Linked DNA regions of Mytilus edulis. The main gene of each other region encodes a partner of the protein of the gene in region 2 in a complex. Links are inferred from orthologs where the notes say so. Each region holds a gene or a part of one and is shown on either strand. Other genes may lie near its edges.

Evidence for each region. Proteins that work in one complex are often made in the same cells at the same time.
Region 1: HEAT repeat-containing protein 3-like (region 2) and ribosome production factor 2 homolog share a complex: the UniProt entries of both Homo sapiens proteins name them as parts of the hexameric 5S RNP precursor complex. The link is inferred for Mytilus edulis from reciprocal best matches to the Homo sapiens genes HEATR3 and RPF2.

What each region holds. Positions count from the first base shown.
Region 1 is NC_092353.1:397,773-401,536, reverse strand, and holds the start of ribosome production factor 2 homolog, read left to right. Parts: upstream 1-1,276; 5' UTR 1,277-1,344; coding exon 1,345-1,364; intron 1,365-3,093; coding exon 3,094-3,226; intron 3,227-3,764. UniProt on the Homo sapiens protein: Involved in ribosomal large subunit assembly. May regulate the localization of the 5S RNP/5S ribonucleoprotein particle to the nucleolus.
Region 2 is NC_092348.1:29,740,711-29,744,474, forward strand, and holds the start of HEAT repeat-containing protein 3-like, read right to left. Parts: upstream 2,840-3,764; 5' UTR 2,703-2,839; coding exon 2,562-2,702; intron 1-2,561. UniProt on the Homo sapiens protein: Plays a role in ribosome biogenesis and in nuclear import of the 60S ribosomal protein L5/large ribosomal subunit protein uL18 (RPL5). Required for proper erythrocyte maturation.

The sequences.
Region 1 (3,764 bases), on a different chromosome or scaffold from region 2:
ATATCTATTGAAATTTATGTACATGTAGATCTATTAAAAGTTAAATACAGAATATTTGCCAAATTTATATTAATTAAATAAAATTCTTGGCTGCATTCGTTACACTTTATTTTATAATTACTTTTAATTACTGTTTTGAATTTTGATTGCTGATAAGGTATCATTTGAAATCTTTGATATCACTGATTGCTATATGAATTGTCTTTGATGGATTAATAATGAAAATAACATTTTTCTCAAATAAAATAGTCTAACTATACAAATCCTTGCTAATAGCAGAAACATATATATTAACGTTAGATATACTGTTCCCAGCTAATAGTAATTCAATTCAATAGTGAATGTACAGAAACTTAAAACCTAGTCCTAGTAGCAGCTAGCTATAAACAACATGTCACATCGTAAATATTCGGCCAAATTGTAGACTGACTTCAACACATTCAATTATATACATGTACACACAACGCAACACTATATACTAAAAAATAAAATCAGGGCGAACGGACTCGGGGCGAACAAGTATTAGGGCGAACAGAAACTAGGGTGAACCAGAATCTGGGCGGACGGACCCGGATTCGTAAGTACCCTGTTTAATCATTTTAATGACATTACGTATACCTAACCATTACTAAGCTTACACAGTCCCTGACCCAAAAATATAGCTATAGAACCTAAAGTAAAAATTCCCCAACCCTTAAGTAAAGGGAGCCCTAAAATAACAGAGGACCAACAATGTAACATCATATAATATTGACAGTTGTGAACATGAATGGGAATATAATTGACAAATTATTGATGTGCAAAACATCTTTACTGTACTTTTACAACCAATTTATTATCTTTCATAAAATTTATCAATGCAAATGTTCTATAGACACTTAAACTTACGATTATTTTATCACTGATAAAGTCTGTTTGGTATGTAAACAATTAAAATACGGTAATTTAACTAAATTGTTCAGTAAAGCTTCTTGGTTGCCTTGGACAACATGTGCTCTTTGTGCTCATAAATTTGTGACGTACTTGACAAAAATATGGGAGACAACTTTTATTTTAAAACAAAAACCGAAAATGACCGATAAAAGAATAAACAACAACGATCTTTATATATTTTTTATATATTTTTTTCAAATTTTTATCAGATATTAACATACTGTTTAAATCACATTTCTTTCATTATTTTTCTATCAAAATAATAAATGTATTTGTTTAAATATTATTTTTGAGCCCGATTTACTTAAGTCTAGTCTAATCCGGAATTTGTTTTGCACGTCTTACCGAAGTTGTGTCTAACATTAGATTCACACGTGGAAAATTTGTAAACAAGAAACAGACACAGAAAAAATGGTCATGCAAAGAGTAGTGTAGGTTATGAAATATTATTATCAGTGTAAAAAAAATGAACACATTTGGAAAAACCTTGTCATTTATCTCTACAACATGTAAAGATCTGTAAAAGAAAGAAGAAAAATTCCAATTTGTACAGCTCTTCTTCTTCTTTCAGTATACAATTATTCCATCAGATGATTACATATTCATGATATTGTTCCCTTAAGTGGACTATTTACATTTTTTTTTTACCCCATTACCAATTTAAACGAAATGTAATTAAACTGCTATGAAAATTTTAAATTTGTGATTAAAACTATGTACAATTTTAATTATCAAGCTAGTCACATTGCTCTGTTGCTACAATAACATTGAACTAATAATATGAATACAGTTCCCAACATCCACACCCTCTACCTAACCATATTTGACCTTGTTTTAGATCATTCTTGACAAAACACACACGAAATCTAAGGTCACAAGCTAATTTTATTTCACTTTATAACAAAGCTGGTTATACCAGCAATCATGATTTTAAACAGACTGAACTAATCAGGTCTAATGCGGTCACCTGAAGAATTAATTAGGTTTCAGGTAGCAATACACAGTTAGGAAAAAAACTTAAAATTGACACTCATAATTTTTAAACACCCTCTTTCCCCTCCTGTCTAACAAAGAAGGCTTTATATGTGTGTTATGCATGTATATAGTTATAGAAAGAGAATCTTCCATAGATTTGATTTCTAATGGTCATAAGGGTAAAATATAATCCCTTTTGGGTGTAACCATGGCAACAATCTGCATTTCTTAGATACAAAATATAGCAGAAAAGGGGGGGGGGGGGGTGAACATGTCACAAAAGTCTCCAAAATTTGGTCTAAAGGAAAATTTCAATCAATTACAGTGATACCTTTCCTGAATCCATAGGTTTATATCTATCAAGTGGTCCAAAAAAATCATATGCATTTCTGCTCGTTTTTCCATAAAATTGAATTGAAAAGATCGAGCGCAAAATCTTTGTTGATAAACACTACAATAATTTATGGACCTATGGACGGTACGGATAGGAAAATACGGACTGTCAATCATATAAATGGCCTATAAAACATGTTAAAAACAATCTAAATGTTCATATAAACCCACTAAGAAGGCTATATTATTCTTCAATTATCTAAAAATCAATTTTATTGTACAAAAACTTTCATATTTAAAAAATTCACAGGGGCCATAATGCGAAACTAAATTTCTAACTGTGTATTGCTACCTCAGGCAGTATAAAATTTAGAATGGAAACTTTTTTATGGGGAATGTATCAAAGAGACAACAACCCAACCAAAAAGCAGAAAAGAGCCCATGGCCAAAAATGGGTCTTGAATCCAACAACTGTAGTTGGGCTTCAGCTGGCCCCTAAACAAAAATTTGTACTAGTTCAGTTACACTTCAGTAGACACTGAACTCTGAAACATATAAACATGATAAATGAACTAATATGTGGCAGGGTTAAACACGTTTTGTGAGATCTCAACCCTCCCACTGTGAGATCTGAACCCTCCCACTTTACTTCTAGCAAAGGCAGAATAAACAAGTACACAGCAATATGCCGAGTAAAACTCAGCATTATAGAAATCTGAGTCCAATTTCAGAATAGGTAACCATGGTAACAGAAGAAACTAAGGGAAATGATAATAATACACCAGTTAATAAAGGACTACTAGCAGTTACTTAAATGCACTACATTTGTACATATATGTTTTTTTAATACAGAAAGCCTAAAACACAAAAAGGAAGAAGATTTTTAGAGAACAGAGATGGCAAGATTACAGAAAATACAAAATCATCCATGTTTATCAAAGGTGGAAATACCAGCATTACTGTGTCACAGATACTAAAGGAACTAGTAAGAAATTAAAGTTAAACTACCATATCCAAGATTAAGATATTAGTAAGAGATAATACATAAAATTGCCATAACCAACTTTAAGGATCATCCATATAAAAGATAAATTACCATATTCAAGATAAGAATTAGAGATGAACTTAAAATACCATACATAGTGATACCATATATATCCATGTTAAAGATATTTGTAAAAGACTAAATTTTAGTAACTATATCGATAATGAAATTGGGAATAGAAATCGGTAATGAGTCTAAGAGACTACAATCTGACCAAAGAGCAGAAAACAGTCGAAGGTATTGGTAAAAGATAAATCTTGAATTCTTAATGGTTGAAAATGGATACAACTGAATTAATTCCAAAGGGCCATGTGAATTAAACTTTTATAACTTTGTCACAGATAAAATCATAAGTAAGAGAATGCCATGGATAAAGTTATCAGACCAAACTGTTATTATATTTATACTACCCGGTATATCAGAAATAGAGGAATATTCAGAGGCCAAATTGTTATAACATAAACAAAGAAAATGATAA
Region 2 (3,764 bases):
TTTGTACATAAAATTTTGCAGCAAAAACGCTAAAAAAAATTTCGTCGGGGGGCTTTTCCCCTCTGAACCCCCTATCAGGGCTCTGCCCTGGACCTGCTGGGGGCCTTAAGCGGCCCCAGACCCTCTGCTGATTAGTGCCTACAGTTGAATGAATACCTAGCTACGCCCCTGATAGACATTGTTATAAGTGAGGAGTCCCGCTAGTATAGAAAGTTCCTGGACAAACTGTGCTTTGCCTTTGGTCAGTATGGACTCCCAAGCTTGGGTAAGACAGTATTGTTATTTGGTGCTATTTACACCTAGCCTGTGCAGTGGATTGTCATGGATGAATTTATAGCCGAATACACAAGCTAACATCCTAAACGAACAATTTAAAAAGGCTTTTACTACCGAAGATACATCCTCTATGCCAAATAAAGGTACAAGTCCCCACCCCACTATGCCAGACATATTTATTAGTAATAATGGCTTATTAAAGTTACTTAAAAACTTAAATCCACATAAAGCCACTGGCCCTGATAATCTGCCAGCATATTTTTTACATAATTTTGCAGAAGAATTGTCTCCATTTTTGACATTCTTTTTCCAAAAATCTATTGATACTGGTAAAATCCCAAATGATTGGAAGCAGGCTAATGTTGTACCTATATTTAAAAAAGGTGACAAGCATAACGCTATTAATTATAGACCAGTTTCATTAACTGCAATATGTTGCAAAATTTTAGAACATATTTTAACAAGCAACATAAGGAAACACCTTACAACTAATAACATATTAAATGATAGTCAGCATGGGTTTAGAAGCAAAAGGTCTTGTGAGACCCAACTTATCATCAGCATACAAGATCTTGCTAAATCATTGGGATATGGTAACCAAATAGATGTCATACTTTTAGATTTTTCCAAAGCTTTCGATAAAGTCCCCCATAAAAGATTAGCCCAGAAATTAGAATTTTATGGTATTAGAAATCAAAATTTAAATTGGATAAATGACTTTTTAGCTGACAGGCAACAGCAAGTACTACTAAACGGTGTAAAATCTTCAAAATTAGCAGTTGATTCTGGTGTCCCTCAGGGAACAGTTTTAGGCCCAACATTATTTTTACTCTTTATAAATGACCTACCCGAACATGTAACTTGCAATGCAAGACTTTTTGCAGATGACTGTTTATTATATAGAAATGTAAATAATAGTTCTGATGCACAATTACTTCAAAAAGATTTGTCTAGTTTAGTAAAATGGGAAGAGGATTGGCAAATGAATTTTAATCCTGAGAAGTGTTATGTAATTCATATTTCTAAAAAAGTAAACCTTCCACTTTTGATTATATATTACATAATCATATTTTAGAAGCAGTAAAAGACAGTAAATATTTAGGCGTAACTATAAGCCATGATCTTGATTGGGGAACGCATATTAACAATATTACTTGTAAGGCAAATAAAACCTTAGGTTTTCTTCGTAGGAACTTAAAAAACTGCACACGTAAGGTTAAGAACCTTACGTACACATCACTTGTCCGTCCGGTCGTCGAATACTCTTCCCCTGTCTGGGATCCGTACAAAAAACAACACATCACTCAGGTTGAGCAGGTACAGCGTAAGGCAGCCAGGTTTGTCTTCAATGATTATAAAGACAGATCACCTGGAGCAGTTTCAAATTTAATAAAATCATTGGAATGGGAAAATTTAGAATTAAGAAGGAAAAAGGCTAGATTAACTATGCTGTATAAAATAAATTGGGGGTTAGTAGAAGTTCCTAAGGACAACTTAACAATTTCTGATAGACGCACTAGGGGGAAACATAAATTTAGGCAAATATCCACAAATAAAGATTTCTATAAATTTTCATTTTATCCTCGCACTATTTCGGACTGGAACTCACTACCTGAAGCAATAGGTATGTCTGACACCCTGGAATCCTTCAAAAGTGGCATATCCACTCTAACACTTGAAGGATCCACAGCAACTTATTAAACTTTAAAGCCACTGTACATAATGTATATATGTTATTGATAACGATTTTTCTTTGTCATATTATTTTTAAATTAAGTCCATATGTACATAGCACACAAGTTCCGGGAAGTTTTACACTCCTACCTAGGAGTCTACTCCCGTATTCGGAAGAAGAAGAAGAAGAAGAAGAAGAAGAAGAAGAAGAAGAAGAAGAAGAAGAAGAAGAAGAAGAAGAAGAAGAAGAAGAAGAAGAAGAAGAAGAAGAAGAAGAAGAAGAAGAAGAAGAAGAAGAAGAAGAAGAAGAAGAAGAAGAAGAAGAAGAAGAAGAAGAAGAAGAAGAAGAAGAAGAAGAAGAAGAAGAAGAAGAAGAAGAAGAAGAAGAAGAAGAAGAAGAAGAAGAAGAAGAAGAAGAAGAAGAAGAAGAAGAAGAAGAAGAAGAAGAAGAAGAAGAAGAAGAAGAAGAAGAAGAAGAAGAAGAAGAAGAAGATTGAAGAAGAAGAAGAAGAAGAAGAAGAAGAAGATTGAGAAGAAGATTGAAGAAGAAGAAGAAGAAGAAGAAGAAGAAGATTGAGTGAGTTTGAGAACATATAAAAATTATGTTAAACCTGTTCAATAATCGGTTGGAGAGAAAAGTTTGTTGTTGACGTTTCTTCAAATTCAATCTCAGTTTCAAAGTCTTTGACACTTGGAAGACCAGTTGGCTGTTGCTGCTTTGCTTTAAACTTCTTTTGTTTTGATTTTCCCATTGCATATTACTTTCATTTTGACATAAAAACCCTAAAATTAAATGATAACTTAACGAAATACAATTTTTTAGCGATTTGCATGTGGCCTGGAGAACTGGTTTTCGGTTACAAAATTCCAGTTCACTTCCGGTTGATATAAAAATAAAATATTGGATGTAAAAACACGAAATAATTCCGGAATTAAGTTAGAACATGTAAAAACAAACATGCAAAACTCAATACTACCTAATGATTTCAACGGTTGATTAGCCAAGCTATCTACATGCCGTATGCCACTTTTTGACACTCGATCTGTTTCAGTATTTGATTATATGCTTCAAGTTGACTCTGACGTCCAACGGCTGTTTTGCCAGACAAGCTGGGGCCGTGGGACGTCAGAGCTCGACCCATATCAAAAAGTGGATATTTGCCCGTCCAAAATAGATGCACTGCTTCGTCGCTTCTGGTGCCAACGGACGGCCTTGGATTTATATAAATCGGGTATCAAATTGTTCATTTTTCATTTATATTTCAAGTGAATATAAATTGAACGAATACATTTGATCTATGACACAATGTAAATACAAAATTAATAAAATAAGGGATGAGATAATACTCGGCCGCAATTTCCGAAAGCCAGTCAACCATTGCCTTGAACAAATTGCCTCCAAATAGAATCGGATGTACACAGGTAAATGAAAAAAATGTATACAGCTCCGAGAATTAAACAGTCGGAAACCAGGTTGAAATAGAACAAAAGAACCGAAGCTCTTTGTTAGAGAAGGCGATAAATGTTTACTGTATTATTTACTATAGTGACAATTTTTTTTAAAGTTAATAGAAACAAACAAAATTGCACTTGACCCATATATTTCATCTTTTAGTACTGTGATTTTTTTGTGTTATAAAGTCAATATTTCATCTTTTAGTACTGTGATTTTTTTGTGTTATAAAGTCAACTACTTTATAACACAAAAAAATCACAGTACTAAAAGATGAAATATATGGGTCAAGTGAAATACCTATCTGATGAGTCACAAAAACAGAGAAGGTGTGTTCGAATAGCTATTTTTTTACTGAAAG